Linked DNA regions of Coturnix japonica. The protein of the gene in region 2 purifies or fractionates together with the protein of the main gene of each other region. This does not show direct contact. Links are inferred from orthologs where the notes say so. Each region holds a gene or a part of one and is shown on either strand. Other genes may lie near its edges. The genes, in order: PARK7, SNCA and CLU.

The links.
Region 1: the proteins of SNCA (region 2) and PARK7 purify together in Homo sapiens (affinity purification with western blotting; 3 studies listed by BioGRID and IntAct, with this or other methods). This does not show direct contact. The link is inferred for Coturnix japonica from reciprocal best matches to the Homo sapiens genes SNCA and PARK7.
Region 3: the proteins of SNCA (region 2) and CLU purify together in Homo sapiens (affinity purification with western blotting; 3 studies listed by BioGRID and IntAct, with this or other methods). This does not show direct contact. The link is inferred for Coturnix japonica from reciprocal best matches to the Homo sapiens genes SNCA and CLU.

The regions. Positions count from the first base shown.
Region 1 is NC_029536.1:195,428-201,884, reverse strand, and holds the end of PARK7 (protein/nucleic acid deglycase DJ-1), read left to right. Parts: intron 1-25; exon of another isoform or gene 26-44; intron 45-817; exon of another isoform or gene 818-836; 5' UTR 837-838; coding exon 839-928; intron 929-1,567; coding exon 1,568-1,669; intron 1,670-1,974; coding exon 1,975-2,034; intron 2,035-2,170; coding exon 2,171-2,240; intron 2,241-3,729; coding exon 3,730-3,816; intron 3,817-4,257; coding exon 4,258-4,418; 3' UTR 4,419-4,684; downstream 4,685-6,457. UniProt on the Homo sapiens protein: Multifunctional protein with controversial molecular function which plays an important role in cell protection against oxidative stress and cell death acting as oxidative stress sensor and redox-sensitive chaperone and protease.
Region 2 is NC_029519.1:31,288,104-31,295,128, forward strand, and holds the start of SNCA (alpha-synuclein), read right to left. Parts: upstream 4,764-7,025; 5' UTR 4,596-4,763; intron 4,333-4,595; exon of another isoform or gene 4,312-4,332; intron 3,153-4,311; 5' UTR 3,128-3,152; coding exon 3,007-3,127; intron 1-3,006. UniProt on the Homo sapiens protein: Neuronal protein that plays several roles in synaptic activity such as regulation of synaptic vesicle trafficking and subsequent neurotransmitter release.
Region 3 is NC_029518.1:96,030,947-96,038,200, reverse strand, and holds the start of CLU (clusterin), read right to left. Parts: upstream 4,288-7,254; 5' UTR 4,273-4,287; coding exon 3,917-4,272; intron 3,158-3,916; coding exon 3,048-3,157; intron 2,611-3,047; coding exon of another isoform or gene 2,580-2,610; exon of another isoform or gene 2,578-2,579; intron 2,220-2,577; coding exon 2,071-2,219; intron 1,993-2,070; coding exon 1,822-1,992; intron 1,749-1,821; coding exon 1,331-1,748; intron 359-1,330; coding exon 245-358; intron 1-244. Other genes in the region: uncharacterized protein LOC107312362, read left to right, coding at 2,580-2,610, 5,597-7,254.

The DNA.
Region 1 (6,457 bases), on a different chromosome or scaffold from region 2:
TGACGTTCCATCGGGCCGTACCAGCCCCGAGGGAGCGCGGCGGGGTGAGACGTGGGACCAGCGGGAAACTGCGCCGCGGGGGTTGAGATCCATGAGGGTACGGGGGACACCGGGGCAGAGTGAACGTGCACCGTGTGTCAGCACAGCTCACCTCAATGGGGATTTAGATGCGATGCTGTTACTTCACCTTTAATGGAAACGTGCTCGTTCACCTCAGTGTAAATTTAGTAGCTAAAAAAAAATCCTTAAGCCGGGTTTGCTGTTTGTTCCATTTTCTAAGCCCTGTGGTCGCTCCCCCATCACACCGTGCACACGTTTGTGACACTCATGAGACACACAGCAAGTCTCTGGCTGGGTTTTGTAGCGGCACCACTCGAGTCATTATTAAGTCACAGGAAACTCAGCAAAGTGCTGCGCGGAAACTAAATACCAGCTGTGAGGTCAGAGTCACAAAGTGCTTCTGATAAATGACCCGGGTGGGAGCTGGCAGCCCAGGTGGGAGTGGGGGCAAAGTGCAGCCGGCCCGGCCGCCCACCACCGGCCTCTTGTGGCAACTGGAGTCGTGTCAAGTTGTGACGAGGCCGAGTTGTTCCACGTCCTGGTGCTGATGCGCTGTGCTGCCCACTGCACCAAGGGGTGAATTGTGCTGCAGTGTGTGCTTTGTGTTAAGTAGGATTGAATGTCAGTTCAGCTGGTGGGATCCATTTTGAGATGGTTTAAGTGAAAGATAATGCAGAAGTGCAAGTTACTTTTAAACTTTCCTGTTTGGAAGACTTTACACGAGGGGATCTGCCTTCTAACATCACTCTGCTCACAGATTTCTCTGCCAGTTGCAGACATGGCCTCGAAAAGAGCATTGGTGATTCTGGCAAAAGGGGCAGAGGAAATGGAAACCGTCATCCCCACGGATGTCATGAGACGAGCTGGGGTGAGTATGTGGACGATGAAAAGTCTTTTATTTCTTTCCATGATTACTTGGTAAATCAAAATCTGTGCCTCGAATTCAAGTTCAGAGTGTGCTCTGATGCGAGATGTGGATGTTCTGAGCCTTCTTACTGCTTAGCCAATAGTTGTGTTAAGCACCAAATAAGGATGAATAACATTTGTCCTTAGGAAGTGTTTAAGATGTGAGCCTAAAGCAAACGAGCAGATGTTTCAGGTAAGTCGTACCCTACCAAACATGTCTGCTGCTGTGCAGAGCAGCACGGAGGTTCATTTGTTTTGTAGGGCTCTGAGCTGTGTTCTCTTCAAGCTTCTGATGTTACACAGCTCTCCTTCAGCTTTTAAAATTCTGATATTAACTTGAACTCTGCCTGGTGGGATTCCTCATGTTTGTTACGTTTGCATCAGTACTTGTACACAGTATTATTGTCTGATTAGGTATGAAAATAAAATGTTAATAAATACAATAAGAGAACACTGAGAGAAATGACTGAAATAAAAATTACCTTTCCCCAATGCTCTCGTGATTTTGTTAACGTCCTCCTTGTTGGGTGCTGTCAGAAGTACAAACCTTTCAAATGTCTCTAATTCATGAATTGTAATGAGAGATGTGTTCTTCTGTTAGATCAAGGTGACTGTTGCAGGCCTAACTGGGAAGGAACCGGTGCAGTGTAGTCGAGATGTCTTCATTTGTCCTGATGCCAGTTTAGAGGATGCCAGAAAAGAGGTTGGTCATCACCTTGAACTGATACAATGGTCAGTATGGCCTTTCCTGTGACTTTCAAAACTGAATTAAGGCCTTTAGAAATGTGTTGCATGTTATGTTCACTGTGCCATAGTGACTCACAGAGCTGCACATTGGCCCCTTTGGTCTTGTCCTATTTTACAGCAGGCCAAGATCAGATTTGGTGAAAGAAAAGGCTTCTCAGTGAAGGATCCCTTTGCTTCTCAATTCACTTAGCTGTGCTGTCCCTAGAACAATGTGACAGATAGGTCACCCTCTGTTCATCAAAGCTTTATCTGTCTGTTTAGGGACCTTACGATGTCGTTGTCCTGCCTGGAGGTAACCTTGGAGCTCAGAACTTGTCAGAGGTAAAGTCCTGGGATCAAGCTGTCAAGCTGTTTTTCTTTGTAAATCTTGTTCATGAATTTGCAGTAGAAAATGCCTCAACTGTGCTTCAACCCAAATAATCAACTCAAAGCAACGGCTTCTTTTTATCTTTTACAGTCTGCTGCTGTTAAAGACATTTTGAAGGATCAGGAAAGCAGGAAAGGCCTGATTGCTGCAATATGTGCAGGTGGGTTAGTAACAAGTTTTCCTTTGATAAATACTTGGGTGTTTGAAAGGACAGGCAGGCGGGTATCCTGCCTTAGAAATTTATATTCTTGTAACTTAGTTACAGAAATTTGCTCTACAAACCCATCAGCATTTGGATTTTCTAGTCATTTGGGTTAGTGTCTTAAAAAGTGACAACTAATTTGCTGGGTGTAGTGGAAATGCTGTAGTGGCCTGAAGCAATGATGGAGCACATGGTGGGAAGGCAGAGCCAACCCAGGGGAGCTCAGGTGCAGGCAATGTACTGGGTGATTGGATTGGGTGGAGTCAGGATCCAGCCCTCATTTAAGGGTTCCCAGTGGAGGTGGGGGTATCTCTCTGGAGTTCCCTGTGTACCTGAGGTCTTCTTGGTTTCTGTGAGTACAGTTGCCACCTCTGAGTAAATCCTCACTTGCTGCAGTCTGGGACTTTGTTACTCTGCTGTCATTGCTGACCTTTTTGTTGTGTTACAGCATTACATTTGGTTTTTAGTTTAGGGATTTTTGGTTTGTTTTTTTTTTAGTATCTGGTTATTTTCTCTGTGAGGACGCTGTGCTGGCTGAACATCGTTACTATAAATTTGTCTCATGACTCCTCTTCTGCCCTTTAGATTCAGCAGGGTGGCTGAAAATATAGTGTTACAGGCTCACCTTCAAAGGAGTGGTACTAAAATATGGAGTTACTCTACAGTGAGGGTTGTCTGCTTACATGTTCTGCACAGCTAGATATCTAGTTCAGTTCTTTATGTGGTTTGTATTTAAAGAAAAAACAAGATGAATAAATGCCGATATTCCCAGCTGAACAGAGAGAGTGGTCTATGTAGGGGAGAATGAGGAGAGTGATGATAACTGTGTAGGAGATGCTCTAACGGTGTGTGTTTGCAGCATGTGTTTGTGTTTTGTCTGGTGTGTGGCTGCTTTTTATTTTGTTTTCGTTCTTCAGTTGAGCAATACACATGAATTTGTGAGCAGTCCTAAGTGTGGCTCTGGTGGTCTTTTCCTTCTTTACCCGTATGTTGCAGAACAATTCATTTATTTTATGTGTAGTGCTTTTCAGAACTTTTCCAGCTGAACACGAGGGAAGTTATTTCCTTGTTGCTTCATTTTCTGAAATGAATCAGATACGCAGAAATGACACTTGAATCAGCCAAATCCTGCATTCAGTTTCTTCTGGAATTCCCATAAGGATTTTTTTCTTGGGTGATCTAAGACAACTTTACACAAGTTTCTTCCTCAATTCAGGCAAGGGAGGAAGTGATGGAAAGAGAAAGAGAATGTAAAAACTGGAAGGTTAGCTGTTAACCCATAGCTGTCCAAAATGCTGCTTGGTGCACAATTCCAGCACATAAAGGCCTTTTCAAATGAAATTTTATCAGATAATCCTTACCAAGGCTGTGAGATTTGAGCCCCTGGATGCGTGTTCTTATGTTTGTAGCAGATAAGTTTCTCACTGATGTGTGTGTGTCCTTACAGGCCCTACTGCCCTCCTGGCACATGGGATAGGATTTGGAAGCAAAGTCACAACACATCCTTTGGCCAAAGATAAAATGATGAATGGAGGTATGTAATTAATGTTATAGCTTTATTTCTAAACTCGGAAAGTATTTTGTCCTAACTCTTCATTTAAAGAAAAGTAAATAACGTTTGCATCTCATTCTGTATCTCAGAGTTTCCTTAGTGCTTTCATATGCATAATCAAAATTCAACAGCTTGCAGATAGGTGCACTTATATGCCATGTGAACAAGCTGGCAGAACTCCCTGTAGGGCCTTTTCCTCTCTGAGGACTGTAGGCAGCGATGAGTTGCTTGGTTCTGCAGGGACAGGGATACAGAGCCCAGAGTGAGCTTGGCTCATGTGAGTCATTGAGGTGTGTACTCAAGAATGCGATGCTGTTGGTGGAGCTTGCTGCCCCTCAGTTGCCGTAGCCTGTGAGCAGGCAGGTCTGTGCTCTGTGTCACTGGAATGGAGACTGACCCTCTTATTGTTGTGTCACCCCTAAGCTCACTACTCCTACTCCGAGAGCCGTGTGGAGAAAGATGGGAACATCCTCACCAGCCGTGGCCCTGGTACGAGCTTTGAGTTTGGGTTGGCCATTGTTGAAGTACTGATGGGGAAGGAGGTGGCTGAACAAGTGAAGGCACCCTTAATATTGAAGGACTGAAATGCTGTTGTGGGACATGGAGTAGAACAATTTCAGGTGGTGAGTCTTGTCCTTTGTAGAATAACTGAGATGCACAATGTAGTTGTGGATGAAATTAACAGCTGTGCTCACCTAAATTAGGACATCTCACCAGTGTTTATTCCTGGAAGAAAACTCTGTTAGCAAAGACCTTCACTATCATTAGCAACTAAATAATCTTAGATCCTGGCATTTCAAAATCGCGTGGACAAATGTTTGCTGATTAAATAAAAATGAAACAACCTTGATTGTTTGTTGCTTCTTTGTGCGTTTTTTCCCCAGTCCCGAGCAGGGGCTGCAGTGAGTAACTTGCTTATCACTAGTGTCTGGCTCACACTTCTCTGTGCAGTGTGATAATCCGACTCAGTGTGGCACAGACTGGTGTGCCCTTCTCTGGAACTGGGAATTTCCCTGGTCTTAAGGCATTAAGGCTGTTTGCTGTGTAGGTTTGGTTGTGCCTTTTGTTTTCTGGAAGGACGCTCAGTAGTGCTGGTTTTTCTCTTCAGCTTGTTGTGAGATTAAGAAACTACATCGATCATTTCTTTTTTGTTTTTAGGGGGTTCAGACCTGATGGTTGTAAGCGTAATGTTTTGTGCATTGATGGCTTCAAAGTGTTTTGTCCTGGTGGCTCTTTGTGTATCTGAATTCAGGGTGGGATTGTTTGGCATCTTTCTTTTTTCCTCTGATGTTTTTCCTCTGTGCAATATATTTGCACTCTTTTTCCTTTGCAGCTTTAAGGTGCTGACATTCTGTGGGTGACAGCCATAATGCTGAGAGATCTTCACAAAGAAGCTGCAGGTTTTCAGCAGGGAAGCATCTCTTCTTCTGAATCACTTTGTAAGAAAATGAATAGCAGTAATGATTACATGCCACTTAAAATATGGAATATCTAACACCTTTCTCAAAATTAACCACAACTAGGATCAAGGTGCATGCCAATATATAAATAATAGAGCAGCAGTCTATGAGCAATCACAGGTGTGGCTTCCATATATGATTCAGAAGAAGTAATGAGCTGTGTGGATGAAAATAGGCAGTTATTATGCAAAGCCTGAATTACAATGCAGGATGGGTGGTGGTAACACCTCGCTCAGTTTATACAAATGCTAATCACAAGCTCAGCAGCCAGAAATCTCTGCAATGGTATTTAGCAAATATTAATAAGTATAATTAAAATACGTGTGCTAGATTTAGTGCCAAAGAACTATGAGAAACAGAAAATTTACCATACAGTTTATATGAGTGTAAGCTATTGGGGGAAACAAGCTATGGAGCAAACAATATTGAGCTGGGCTAAAGGTGAGGGGGTGCGAGCGGGGGCTTTGTTCTGCAGGAATGTCCAGCACACAGCAAATCAGTGGAATGCCTGACTGCAAAGACCCCATGTACAGAATGCTGCATCCTGGTGCTGATCACTGGTGTCATTTCAGGGAGGAAACTTGAGCATGTGTCTTTTAGAAGTGTTTGTAGGGCTCTCAGTCTGTAGTTGATTTTGTTGAGTGGGAATTGCACCATGTCCAGTCATTGTCTTAATCCTGAATTTCAGATATCAGTCTTGGACACATTTAAAATGACCTCCTACAAAAGCTGTGCTGTACTCCCTGGCAGTAGCTGCTTAAGAGCAAGTTATCCTCGTGGAAAAAATTGGTTAATGGCATTTTTTTAAGTCACTGGGTCCTAACACAACCTCTTCTATTCAGGAAAAGGTATATTGAGGCAAACAGCTTATCCTTTAGTTACCAGCTAGATGCAGCTCCTGGCTGATTTTCTAGCCCAATTAACCCTTTCACAAAATATATATGGTGGATGTTTGCTTCCAGTGATTGTTGAGGGAGCTTTTTCTTGTGCCAGTTCTGAGCCTGGGGTAAGAGGTGTGTCCCCCCCACGTCCCTTGTTGCTGACCTTGCTGCCAGTCTCTTCTCACTAAGGTCTGTTTGATGATCATGGATTCACCGTGGGACTTTGATGAACGTGCTTCTGTAGCCACAGCAATGCTGCTGCAGGAAAAAGGCCTCCAGGTG
Region 2 (7,025 bases):
TTAAAGGATATTCTGAGTACTAAAAAGCCAGACAAAGATCACAGAATCCTTAAAAGTTGGAAGTGACTTCTGAAGGCCGTCTAGTCCAACTGCTCTACAATGAACAGGGTCATTACAGCTAGATCATGTTACCCAGGATGGTAGGTGGTAAGACTCCCATGTGGAAAGGAAAAAGAATCCCAGTAATCCTCCATGAAATGCCCTCTGAGCTGTATGTTCCACACTTGAACCTAAACAGTAGCTATTGTTAATAGATTCTTATTATGTAGAAATTTGTTACAATCTTTATTATAATAGTTAACCACTAACTGGACAGAAAGATACACATTTTCTTTATTTACTTAAATTACACTCCCAAATTTCTTAAATTCTACTATCTAAATTAATCTCTTAAATGAAAGACCATAGCACCTTAGGAATCTAAATCAAACATTCTAATAGCAGTGGAAGGCTGAATGCCACAGAGATGACTGGTGAAACTAAAAATGATTAAGAGGCCCCTCTTCACCTAATTTTGTCAGGCTCTTTGCAAGATGTCAGGTAGCTTTCACAACAGAATCTCACTGTCTGACTGCAATTTCTATCTGAAAAAAAAAAACAGCTACAGAAGCAGGAAGAAAGAAACCTTTTGAATCCCTAACACACTGTGCTGCTCCTTCTCTCCAATTATAGAGTGTGGTGGTTGTTTTTTTTTAACCACCTTCCAGATTGCAACCATTATCAGCCTAGAGAACCAAGAGATATCACATCAGTCTTTGTTATGCTGTTCAGGAAAAGAGCTGCCCCTGCTGTGTGCTTGGGAAGCATAGAGACATCCTCAGCTCAGAAATAGAGGGGTTCTGAGCAGCCTGAACATGCTGATTTGGCAGGGAACACAGAGCTGTGACCCAGTTTCAGCTGCCCTCTGCCAGAACCTAGCCTGCACAGAGGTCCCCAAACACCACTACAATTCGCTGAGCCTATTGGTTTCTGCTCTAATGTTTACCCTCCTTGTTTTAATTCTGGCCTTTCCAGTTGCAGCTGGAGAACCCAAGGAACCAATAACCCAGCAAGTTTATTGCTTGGGTCCATTTCCTAGTCGATCATTTTGAAAACTCAGCTATGGAAACCTTGGCTTGCTAAACCCAAGCATGCACCCAGACACATTACCTGTCAGAAACCTTGAGGAGCTGTTCTAATGAATGTGCTTTCTGCCTGCATGACTGAAACTGCATATAGCTCGTTCTTCCTGAAAAGCATTTATCTGCTGCAGGAAAGGTTCTTGCTTCACATCCCTGCAGTTGCATGCACAAATCCTCACTATGGCTCAAGGCTTTGCTGTCCAAGGTATTTAATTTGTGAAATAAACAACAAGCCCACCCTATGCCTTAGCAAAAATATCTCTGAAGACAACAAACAGGAAATCTGTTGCCTTTTGGAGGACAGCTAGTTCCAGATGTCATTACAGTCAGGAGAAGAGGTCAGGGACAAGAAGGACTGTTTCAGCACACAAAACAGGTTTCTAATACAAAGAAACCAATGACCCTAAAACCACACTCAAGATAAACAATAACAACAACAACAACAAAAATTTAAAAAGTAAGCCATACCCTGAAAACTGATTTTAATATCAAGTATGATGTGCAGTGAAAGAACAGCTATTTTGATGCTGAAAAATGAGCAGATGCTCATTTTAAAATAGATTCATCTTACAACTGCTTTTTAAAATGACTTCCATCTCTGTCGGCAAAAGCACCAAGCTTAGCTACGGCTCAGGAGGAGAAAAATATATTCCAAATGAGTAGTCTAAACTACGTGGAGTAGAAATAATTCATTACAGACTGGCATCAACCTGCAAGGGCAGAAGGAATCCTGGAAAGATGTACAGAAACATCAGTTCTTCCATCTGTTTTTTTGGTTTTTTGTTTTAAACTCTGTTCAACTTCTTTTTAATATTTGTACACACTTCCCCAGATAAAAGCAGCATCCATTACAGAATTGACTTGCTGCCAAATCATAAAAAAAGAACGAATCTACAGAAAAGAGTGTATTTTCCTTCCTATTCTACTACCATGCAACTGAAATTAACTTAAAAAAAATAAAATGGAATTCCTCCAGTTTAAATGACCTATTCATATGTTCTTGGCAGCTTTTTTCCTGTTCATTTTTCACTATGGCATTTATGAGACAGTACTTTAAGGCCTGGTAGTTTCTAAGTGAAGACGATGATTGTGTCGTCAACAGTCCAATGTGAGATTTGAAAAGAATCTTTCCCCGGGTTCCATGCAAAGTACTCGCATAGTCTGGGTAAGTCAACTAACATCTGCTTCCCACTTTCTCCACTGTCTCAGTGACCGTAAAGGTTCTTCTTTGAGTAGCCATGGAAAATAGCTGCTGAGGATATGCAATAGTAAGTATAGAACATTAGGTTAACTTTGAAAAACAAGGAGCTGACACCTCACCATTCAAAATGTTACTGCTGAGGACCTTTATTTAGTGAAGAAAGAAAACAAGCTCCTTTCTATGGGGTGTACAGTTATCTTCCTTCTACTCCAGGAAAAGACATTGGCACGTCTTAGATTCAGTTCCAGAACCAACATCTCAAGTTTTTTCTTTAAAAATCCTGCTTAAAACTCAGGCATTCTACAGGATTCTGTGAATTTACCTCCCATATAGCAAGCATCTTAAATAGGGCCAGTCAGTAACTTGCATTGTAAGGCCTCTTCCAACAGGCAAGTTTATCCTGTACAACATTACAAATGCAGCCCCATATGACCAGCACACACAGTGACAAGAACCAAAAAAAAATACATGACACACAACAAACAGCAATCAAACAAACAAGCAACAATCGTCAAAGACCCTATGCTCAGGAGAGTTCAAATCTCATCATGTTTACTTTGCAGTTAATCCTCTCCTATGAGTGATTACATATTTCAGAGAAGAGAGAGAATTCAGCTCTTTCTTTCAGATGAGCGGGGCTGTCAGGGTACACCAATCAGCAGCACAACCTCACTGCCCACCTACCCACATAGAGGACTCCCTCTTTCGTCTTTCCTGCTGCTTCTGCCACTCCCTGCTTGGTTTTTTCTGCTGCTGCTACAACCCCTTCCTTTGCCTTGTTAAGTCCCTTCATGAAGACATCCATGGCTGAAGGATTTCTTCACACAACACTAGAAAAAAAAAAAAACAATACCAAACACACTTTAAATAATGGTTCTCAGCTTTTTTTTTTTTTTTTTGCCAGAAAATTTTATTAAAACTGATTGCACATCAAAATACTTTTGAAATACATTATTTATACTCACATATTATATAACTTCCATCTACATCCGTATTAGCAATATACACATACCTCTCTGTATCTAGGATCGCTTTCAGTATTTCAGATAGACAAAAAACAGTTAAATAACTAGAAAACAAAGGAGCTCCATTACACAACTCACCTTTACATCTCACATGCTACCACAGAGCAAGTTCAAGTTAAGCAGTATGGCTAAGGTAGTCCCTGAAAGGCCCAGGAGTTCCCACAGAAACGTACAGAAAGGTCACTGATAACGCAGTTCTCATTTGAAGTTGCACTCACTGAAAGGAACAAATCCATTCCTTGCCTACCACCATCTCCTCCAAAGGACAGTTTCTTGTCTATTAACTACAAGATCTAATCCCATCATTCGCTGATGCTCCACCTTCTCATTCAAAGGAAAAACTTAAAAACTAACAACTTTACAAACGCTTCTTCTAAATGAGAAACGTTCGCTCATTGTTGTTTGAAGAACCACTAATGTTCCAGAAGGACTTGAGCAAACACAAAACTGCTTTCCAGCAACCCAGCATTTTGCATGCAGCCCATATTGCTCTGCCAGCACTTGAGCTTTCAAAAGGGATCCTGCACATGCATCAAGACTAAGGAGGAAAAAAAAAAAAAAGCAAAGGCAAGAACATGCTACACTAATAACACCACACTACAGCTAGCAAGTAGGTTCTGTGGCAGTTATACAGCCCTACGCTACAATTAGGCCACAAAGACAGTAATTAAAGCCAGCAAGACACCCCTTTCACAATCCCGTCGCCGACAGCCCCTTCCCTTTCTCCCCCTCCCCCTCCCAGAAGATGCACTGCCTGCTAGTTCTTTCCCTCCGCCGGAGGAAGGGATGTCTAGGAAGACAGTGGGGAGCTTGCTACTAACCCGTGGCAATCAGAAGGGCAGAATCCGTGCCCCACTGACACCGTAGGCAGCACCGAGAGCAGGTGTGGGAGCACCTGGGTGCAGAGCGAGGGAAGAAAGCAGTACATGGCTACGTGGCTCAGTCTAAATAAAAGAATGGGCACCTGTGGAGGAAGGAAGAAAGAACGCGCAGGGCTCTCCCACATGTATGTGTCTGTATCTATACGGACTATCCGAGGAGAAGGGCAGGGCTACGTGAGCACATAAGCACCCAGCGGCTCCCTCACACGGCAGCCGCGGCGCCCGCTGGTTTCCCCTCCCGTTCCCTTCCTCCTTCGTGCCCAAAGGAGAACACGTTGAGCGACAAATGCACCTGTCCGCACACCCACCCCTGCGGCTGCCCAGCCCCAGGGCGAGCAGAGCCTCTCATGCACTCCCCACCACCTACCGCTGGGTCCGCCGCTGCAGGAAGGCGGGGGGAGGCAGGGCAGGAGGAGGGCGAAGCGCAGAGAGACCTGATGGGAGCTGCCCCTTCTCAGCACATCGCCAACTCTCCCGACGGCAGCAAGGCAGGCAGCGAGTGTGAAGGAGAGGCAGGGTGCGGGGCGGGGGCGGTAGGAGGAGGGGCCGGGGGCGGTGGGGCGGCTCCCAGCCTCCATCCCCTTCTGGGTGGGAATGTGCTGCGGGTCGGGTATGCGTCGTGACGTGGGGGTGGGAGGTAAGGATAGGAAAGAAGAGGGGAGGCTGAGGTCCTGGTCATCTCGTGGCACCACCTGTCCGCTGTTCGCCCCGGCGGCTGAATCACAGCACTCAGAAGCAATGCGAGCAAGCTGTTGCTAGTGAATTCAGCACACCTGTTTCGCTTCACCCACGGCTCAGAAAACGCCCCCGAGCTCTTGGTTACTTATCTTCCTCTCGTAAGCCTTCAGGCCGGAGTGACTTGAGGTGAACGCTCTCAGGATTCACGCTCCCAGCTCATTTTTAAGGATGGCAGGTAATACTCTTGTAGGTAAAACAAGATCCTTAACCCCACAGCATAATATAATAAAATCTTTGTCTAAACAAGGATGAGAAGCCCAGCCTCACACCTGTTGGTCTCCATTGTACAGACCAGAGCCACTGCATTTCCCCTCTTGGTCTGTTACACTCAAGTCACTTTTCCCCAGAAAGGGAAGGCAATGTCACTTCTCTGCATTGCTGCAGAGCGTAGGCATGAAAAGCCAAATTCAGTGGAAAACAAGGTATTAGAACAGATGGACCTTCAGCATCAGTACATCAGTCAGCATGCTGTACAGATCCTGCAAAACCTTGCAAAAACAGTTTGTTCTGTCATTGCGCTCCAAAGGAGAAGCAGAGCTTGGTACAGATGAGACACAGGGATGTGAGCTGCACAAAGCACCTTCCATCCATCATACTGGGCAGACAGCAGACAGGTTCCTGCTTTTATTTCCATTCTGAGCACACAGTGCAGAGTTTTCTCTTTTTCAGGTTTCTTAATGTTTCTTTACCGCTTGGTAATCTTCCTTGGGATTCATTCCACTACTACATTTAACCAAGCAAACATTTGGTGAAATGTATTTTTTTGTGTGAGAAGGTGCTGACTGAGAACACAAACCATTCCTTCATAATTCTGCTCTCCAGAAAATCCTTAGCAAATGATCCAGCAATTGCACATCCTATTCATCATGAGCTACACTTTACTTGCAGTCAAGGTTGAAATTGCAGAAATAACACATTTTACATGAGCAACAATAACATCTCAAATTAATGACTTTGTCTGGCTAGATAGTCAGTGTTTGAGTGGAAAGCAGCTCTGTCCCCCTGGGACCTTAAGTAAATCCATACTCTGAAAAGCAACAGCTCAAGTGGTACGGAAGCCAACACAGCAGCAGTGCATTTCTACTCAGAGACAATAGATGAGTAGGTGATCAGAGACTTCAGATGAGGCCGTCCAAAGGATCCCTGGCAAAGTCAATGCTGATTGTTCTTTAGGATGTTTCCCACTACATAGCACCAATGAGCTGACTATGAATGAGAACAAATTCTCTTCCTCATGCACGATGCAATACATTAGCCCTATCTGATATAACTGACTGTGCTAATACTAGTGAAGTGGGAATTGTCATGCAGGATCAGCTCTGATGCCCGTCTAGTCTCCAATCCTGTTTCAGATAGAAGCCAGCAATGAAGGCATCCAAGGTCAATGATAACATAGTATGCTCTGAAGTAGCCTGCTTCAAATCTAGGTATCTGAGCCAGTGCAGTCACAGCACATTAATTACCTGGATGGCAGTGTTTCCCAAGAGATGTATCAGGAAAGCAGCAGCTTTAATTAGATACTAATGTTAGTCACCAGCAAACTGTTTAAACAAGTGCAAAACTCAGACAGTAGCATACTTCATTCCAACCTGTCTTCTTTTTACAATTTCTAAAGGGAAGTAGACAGCATACAGAAGAAAAGTAATAGTTTTCAAATAGGTTGTGGTTTTGACAGAGGTATTAATACACCAGAGTTGAGGAGCAAGTGAGCAATCTATGCACGTGACTGCATCTTTACAGAAGATCCTTTTTCCATTTTGCCTACAAAAAAAGTTCCCTTTATTGCTGCAAGTCTTGTATCTGACACAATAGAAACACCTTATCTAATGGTCATCAAAACTTTCTACGCAGAAATTATTTTATTGAAAATTTGGCAAGTGCACAAATGCAAATCTGCAGCAATATACAGAAAAAAGTAAAGACTGCACAGCTTGATTTATGTTTTGCTGCTTTAAACTGCAAGAAAAATTGAATGTAAGTACTAAGCATTAAATACGAGGAAGCTTCAGATTCAGATGATACTGAGATGGCAGATACTAACAGACAAAAAACAAAATCT
Region 3 (7,254 bases), on a different chromosome or scaffold from region 2:
CATCCCCATCCTTTACATCCTCTACATCCTACCCCCTGCATCCCCACTCCCTGCACCCCTATCCCCAACTCCTGCATCCCCTTCATCCCAACCCTTGCGTTCTCACTCTCATCCCTTGCATCCCACCCCCTGCAACCCCATTCCCATGCCCCACACCCCTTCACAGCCCTCTCCCCACCTCACCCCACACCTCCACAGCCACGCACAGCTCCCATCTTGCCCCCCCTCCCCGCCCCCTACCCACCTACAGCCAAGATCTCCCTGCACTTCTCGCACTCATCCCTCATCCTCAGGCAGCCAGCTGAGTTGCGCCGGATCTCACGGCACACCATGCGATCAGTGCTGAAGTTACGGGACTCTGAAGAGAGCAACACATTAGGGAGCTCCCCACACCAAAACGTGGCCCAAAATGTGGCCACAGAAAGGACAGCATTGCCCAGATTGATGGATGGATGGGGAACCATGGTGGGTTGGATGGGGACCATGGTGGGTTGGATGGGGGACCATGGATAGGAGACCGATGGGTGGATGAATGGGGGAATATAACTGGGGGCAGTAGGTGGATGGGAACAATGGATAAAGAACCAATGGATGGATGGGAGACCATGGATGGATGGGAACAATGGATAGGGGACCAATGGTGGGGAACCATGGATGGATGGGGGACCCATGAATTGGGGAACCATGGGTGGATGGGGGACCAAAGGATGGATGGGGGACCCATGGATTGGGGAACCATGGGTGGATGGGGGACCAAAGGATGGATGGGGGACCCATGGATTGGGCAACCATGGGAGGATGGGCATAATGGATAGATGGGGGACATAGATGTGGGACATCCCCTATTCAGGCCATGGTCCAACGAGCCCAGATTGCACGGCAGGGCTTTTGTGATTCATTCAAGGACTTTTTCCAGGGAAGTTTGACTTCACCTAAAAACATTTCCTGGCCCCAAACGAGATGTTTTCCGGACAAGAGCACTCTGTGCCAACCTCTGTTTTGCAATCAGCCCTGTTCCCAGCTGCCCTGCGTGGAGCCATGGCTCTGGCCCAGCAGACAGTGACGGAGGTGACAACACAGGGATGGTGGCAACATGGGGACAGCCCCCGATAAGCGCATCCAAACCCAACACCAACTCATCCCTTTGGCATCTAACCCCCGTGAAGTGCAACTATAGGCAAAAACCACCTCAAAACCCATCCCAGTTCTGCTAATGTCAGAACCTAAGACTCCCAGGTTTCCACGTGGATTCTCCGCTGTCTCATATTAGGGTTGAGCTCATCCTCCACGCTGACAAGGAGGTGGAACCATGGTGGTGCTGCGCTCCTACCTGTCGCAAAGCCCCCCAGCGGGTGCTCCCAGGCGCCGTGCCCCCCATCCAGCATGTGCTGCGTCATCTCAAAGAGCGGCTGGAAGAGGCGATGGAAGCCATGCATTGGGTGCTGAAAGAAAGGGTGCAGCTCTCGGGACAGCCTCCTGCGTGGCACCAGGTGGACACGTTGCACAGGTGGGACGAAAGCTTCACGGAAACCACCAAAGGGAGGCGTTCGGAAGAAGGGGAAGGTGGGCCCATAGAGCTGTGTGCTGTCCTGGAAGATGTCCTCCACTCCATCCTCCATCAGCCCAAAGCGCTCCTCCAGGTCCTCAAAGCGCCGCTCCTGCCGCTGCTCCCGATCCAGCAGATCATCGATGCGCTCGCCGTTCACCCAGATGGAGAAGGGCGAGGAGCGGTTGAGGAACTCCTCCAGCTGCAGTGGGATTGGGGTCAGCTCAGAGCCCAAAAGTCCCACTGCCCGCTATGATACCCCCAACACAGCTCACCTGGCGGCCCACCAGCCCCGAGCCGCTGTGGCACATCTTGGAGTAGACGCGCATGCAGGTGTGTTTGAGGCAGGGCTTGCACTCCTCCCACAGCGACAGCATCGTCTCATTGCAAACCTCCTGCTTCTCTGCCAGCTGCTTCTCCTTCTCCAAGGCCAGCTTCACTGCTTCCTGCATGGCACAGCACACAACCCCTCACAGATCAGCTCCCTGCAGCCCTGCTCCACCAGCCCTCCCCACCTCACCCACCTCCTTCTTCTTCTTGGTCTCTTCCAGTGTGTGCAGCATGGCCTGGTGCTCCTTGCTGGTCTTGTCCATCAGTGTCTTCATTTGCTTCACCCCATTGATGGCGTTCTCCACTTCAGCGTCAATGTATTTGCTGCCGGCTGCTGAGAGCTCTGTGGGGAGGGTGGATGGGGGGATGGATGGAAGGGAGGGAGGGAGGGAGGAAGGAAGGATGGGAGGGAGGGAGGAAGGAAGGATGGGAGGGAGGGAGGAAGGAAGGATGGGAGGGAGGGAGGGAGGAGGGATGGAAGGGAGGAAGGAATGGAGAGAGGAAGGGAGGAAGGAGGGATGGATAGGAGGATGGAAGGGAGGGAGGAGAGATGGATGGATGGGAGGGAGGGAGGAAGAAAGGATGGGAGGGAAGGGAGGGAGGAAGGAAGGGAGGGAGGGAAGAAGAAGGGATGGAAGGGAGAGAGGGAGGATGAAAGGGAGGGAGGGAGGGAGGAGGGATGGGAGGGAGGGAGGAGGGAGGGATGGAAAGGAGTGAGGAAGAGAGAGAGGAAGGTAGGAAGAATGGATGGATAGGAAGGAAGGGAGGGAGGGGAGAAGGGAGGGAGGAAGGAGGGATGGAAGGGAGGGAGGATGAAAAGAAGGGAGGGTGGATGGGAAGGATGGAGAAAAGCAGGATGGGAGAGAGGGAGGAAGAAAGGATAGGAGGATGGAAGGGAGGGAAGGAGGAAGAATGGGAGGGAGGGATGAGTATCTCACTGCTCCCAAGACAAACTGAATTTCCCCCAGTGCATGCAAACATTTGCTCACAATAGTCAAGTTCACAGAGAAAAGTGACTTAGAAACCAAACCTTAACCCAGCTGGGGCTGCATCCCACTGCCCTCTGCAGACAGTATTTGGGCAGCATCACCCATGGGTTCCCCCCACCCCTGCCCAGTAGCCACCTTCAAGCATCCAGTCCCACGTACCCAAAGCCCCCCCCCCCACTTACGTTTCAGCTCATTGGGGGGCACAAGGCCTTGCCCCTCCTGGCAGACGAGCCCCAGGCCGAGCAGGGCGAGCAGCGGCAGCTCCATGGTCCAGTCCCAGAGCAGCTCGGACCTGCGTGGGTGAAGGCAATGAGAGGGATTGGGATCCGGGCACGGGGCCGTGAGTCAGCAGCGGGCACCGGGCCACCGCCGTGGGCACAGCATCGGGTAGGGCTGTGCCAAACTCCAATGCAGCCAAAGCACCGAGCAGGACTTTCTTCTCCTCTTTTTCTTCTCCCTGTGTTCACACGGGGGGGGGGGAGGGAGAGGAGGGAAGGATATCGGGAAGGGCTGGGGGGAGGCAAAGCCGCTATGGGGCAGCCCCCCAACAAAATAAAGAGCGTTGTGCAATAGCTCAGCTGCAGTGTGTGGCTACTAAATGCCCCAGTAAGAAAGAGTTGTGCAATCAGCTGCACAGTGGGGCTCCAGCACCGTCCCTGGGGCTCAGGCCTTCCCTTGGGGGGAGGGGGGTCCTGGCCCCGTGCCCCCACTGCAGCAGCATTGCTGCTGCATGGCCCCATTGCTGCCCCACAAAGATACTGCTACCTCCCCCCAAAAAACCCTTATTAACACCCCCCCCCCCCCCAAAAAAATGCTGATCATCCCCCAAAATAACTGCCCTCCTCCCCCCAGAGAAAACAACCGATGTCCTCCCCCAAAGAAAGAAGTGATGCCCTCCCATCCTGCACACAGCATTGTGGGAAACTCCTGCTTGGTGCATCACAGCCCTTGGCACAGACAGAGGGCAACTATAGGGGGACATAGCTCTGCCTCCATAGTGGGTCCCTATGGAAGGGAAGGGAAGGGAAGGGAAGGGAAGGGAAGATCCTACCTGCGCTCAGTGCCGGCTACCCCGGGAGCTCCACTGCCCGCCCCCACCCGCCCCCTTTTATCCGGCCGGCCGCTGCGGGTCCGCCCAGCTCCCAGCCCGGAGCTTTCTGGAACCGGCCCCCCTGTGTCGTTCCCCCCCCTCCCCCCGATATCCGCCGTCTCCCCGACGCAGCGGGGATGGGCGCGGCTTCGCTTCCCCTCCAACCCTCCCCCTTTATTGGGGAAACTGAGGCACGTAGTCCCTGTTTCCACTCCATGCCTCCAGCATAGGGGACGTGCCACCAAACCCCCACCTCTCGAAACGAGAAGCAAAGGAAAGAATCCCATTGTAAAGAATCTCAAAAGTGCCCAGCGCATCCCCCGCAGCGATAAGCGAGCGGGGACCAACGGGATAAAGCAGCCCCGGGGTGGGAGGTGGGGTAGGGGGGGGGGAACAACGGGGTCGGAGCGGAGACGGGCAGTGGGAGGAGCGGCCACGGCGGATGGCGGGGGGAGGGTGGAGAGAGGCTCCGCGAAAGCGAAACGAAGGTACGGAGAGAGCGAGGCTGCGGCTGAACGGTGCGGGCACCTGGGGGGGGCTTGGGGGGTGTATAGGGGTGTATAGGGGCTGTGTGTGGGTCGCTGTACGTGGGGGATGGGGTGGGATGGTCGGAGGGATGCGGGGGGGGGTTCTTGGGGTGTATGGGGTGGTTGTGCATAGGGGTGCGTGGAGTACGGGACTCTGTGCATAGAGGTGCGTGGGGATGCACGTGTATATGGGGTGTTTGTGTTTGTAGGGGTGTATGGGATGTTGTACACGTGGGGGTGCATTGGGGTATGGGGCTGTGAGTGGGACACTGCATATGGGTGTGGGGTTGTGTGTGGGACGCTGTGCATAGGGGTGCGTGGGGGTGTGGGGTGGAGTGGGGCGCTGTGCATGGGGGGTGTATATGGGACACTGCATAGGGGTGTTTAGGGGTGTGGGGCTGTGGGTGGGATGCTGTACATAGGGGGGTGTGGGGCTGTGTATGGGGCATTGCACAGCGGTGTTTGGGGGCGCAAGGTTGTGAGTGGGACACTGTGCATAGGGGTGCATGGGGGTTCATGAGGTGTATGGGGTGTGTAGGGTCATGAATGAGACAGTTATGCATGGGGTGAATGGGACACCCATGTATAGGGCTGCAAGAGGTGCATGGGGATGAGTAGGGAACTTGTGCATTCGCGTGCATAGGGATGCATGGAGGTGCAGGTTCATGTATGGGACACTTGTACTGAGGTGCATGGGTTTGCATATGGCTGCAGGGCTGCTCATCCATGGGGGTGTGCATGGGGCTGAACGTGTCACTCATGCATAGGGTGCATTGGAGTGCAGGGCTGCATATGGGATACTTGTCCATAGGGTTATATAGGGGTACACAGGAGTTCATAGGGATGCAGGGCCATAAATGGGACACTCATGCATAGGGGTGCATGGGGAGTGCAGGGCTGCATATGGGATACTTGTCCATAGGGTCATATAGAAGTGCACAGAAGTTCGTAGGGGTGCAGGGCCATGCATGGGATGCTGTGTGTGTGTGGGGGGGTGCTGCAGCTGCACTTTGTGTTCCTATTTCTGTGTGCTGTGCTCAGTGCTCAAGGTTAACGCGGGGGAGGGTTTTGCTATCAGTTCTGCTCTCATAGCAGCTCTGCTCTTCTCCCACAGACCTCAGTACCAGCTGCAGTAGGAGTGGACGTCGGGTGAGCTTACTGCTCTGTGGGCAGAAGCACCACCTTCTTCACCTTCCCTTTTCCTCATCCTCTTCCTTTGAGGTGCAGACCCGGAGGCATTTCTTCTCTTTCTATCAGTTTCTGAGCCCCCAGCGCATATCTGTGGGCTCAATGGAGTTCCGGAACAGGAGCATCAGGCCACGGATGGAAAGGTACCATGGGATGACGGAGTTCCAGGGTGAGCACAATAATCCATGGGTGGAGGAGTTCAAAGAGGTGTGGGCAAAGTACGACATGGACTGTGGGAAGGTGAAGGAGGAGGTGGAGGTGGGTGAGGATCCAGTGCCGTACCAAGAAGATGAAATCCCACCAGACTTGGAAAGAAGGATGGCCCCGCTGTTGGATCAGATGCTGAAGGAGGGCATCGTGGAGCCAGGCAGGTCGCCCTCCAACAGCCCTCTGCGCCTCTTCATCAAGGACAACGGGGCGACGTTGCGGCTGACGCTCGACTTCAAGGGTATCAACAGCGTCAACCACCGGCAGCCAACAGAGTCCCTGGACCTGAAGGAGGTGGCGAAGGTGCTCAGCCCTCGCAGCCGCTATTTCTCCTACCTCGATCTGTCCTGCTGCTCCTTCGCCATCCCACTGACGGCTGCTTCCAAGCTCAGGTTCGCCTTTACCTTCCGAGGGAGGCAGTATCTGTTCAACCGCCTGCCACCAGACTTCTATCTCACCAGCAGCATCTTGCACCGCCGCGTGACCCGCATGCTGGCCCAGCTGTCTCCAGAGTACAAAGGCTGGGTGTCTTCTTATGTAGATGATATTGTCATCTCTGGGAGAACCCAAGAGGAGACCGAGTCCCTCACCAAGGAGGTTCTGCAGCTGATCAGATCCACTGGTTTTAAACTCAAGCTGCGGAAGGCACAGCTGGTGAAGCCTGAGGTGGACTACCTGGGGCTGAAGCTGTCGGCACGTGGCTGGGAGGTACAGGAGAGCAAACGGAAGGACATTGCAAACACCCCGACCCCATCGAACCTGAAAAGCCTCCGCTCGCTGCTAGGGAAGATGCGCTTTCATCAGGACCACGTGGAGGACTATGAGGAGCTGGTGTGGCCCCTGGAGCAGCTGAAGAATGAGAAGTGGCAGTGGGGCAAGAAGCAGCAGGAGGCGCTGCAGAGGCTGAAACAGGCCATCCTGACAGAGCCGGTGTTGCGCTTCGTCGATCGGTCGCAGCCGCTCATCATCAAGACGACGGCGAGCAGCAAGACAACGGGGGCTGCTCTGCTGCAGGAGAATGAGAAGGGGCAGATGGTCCCCGTTTGGTTCAAGTCCAAGGTGCTGGAGAAGCACCAGATGTCCTATTCGCCCGAGGAGAAGCACTGCGTGGCGGTGCTCAGAGCAATGCATGCGTTCCAGGACCTCACAGGGTCAGCTCCCATTGTGATCCAAATGCCCGGTTCCCCTTGGAAGTACCTTCTTTGGGGTGACACCAAGACCTTCTGCTGGCCGACCCCCGGCAAGAAGCAATGGAACCTGCTGCTGGTCAATGGGGGGGAAAACATCCCTGCATCTCCACAGCTCTCAGGTGTGCTGGTGCGCCGCGCATGTCCCCTACAAGAGCTGCCATCCAGTGTGCCCCACAGCAATGTTTGG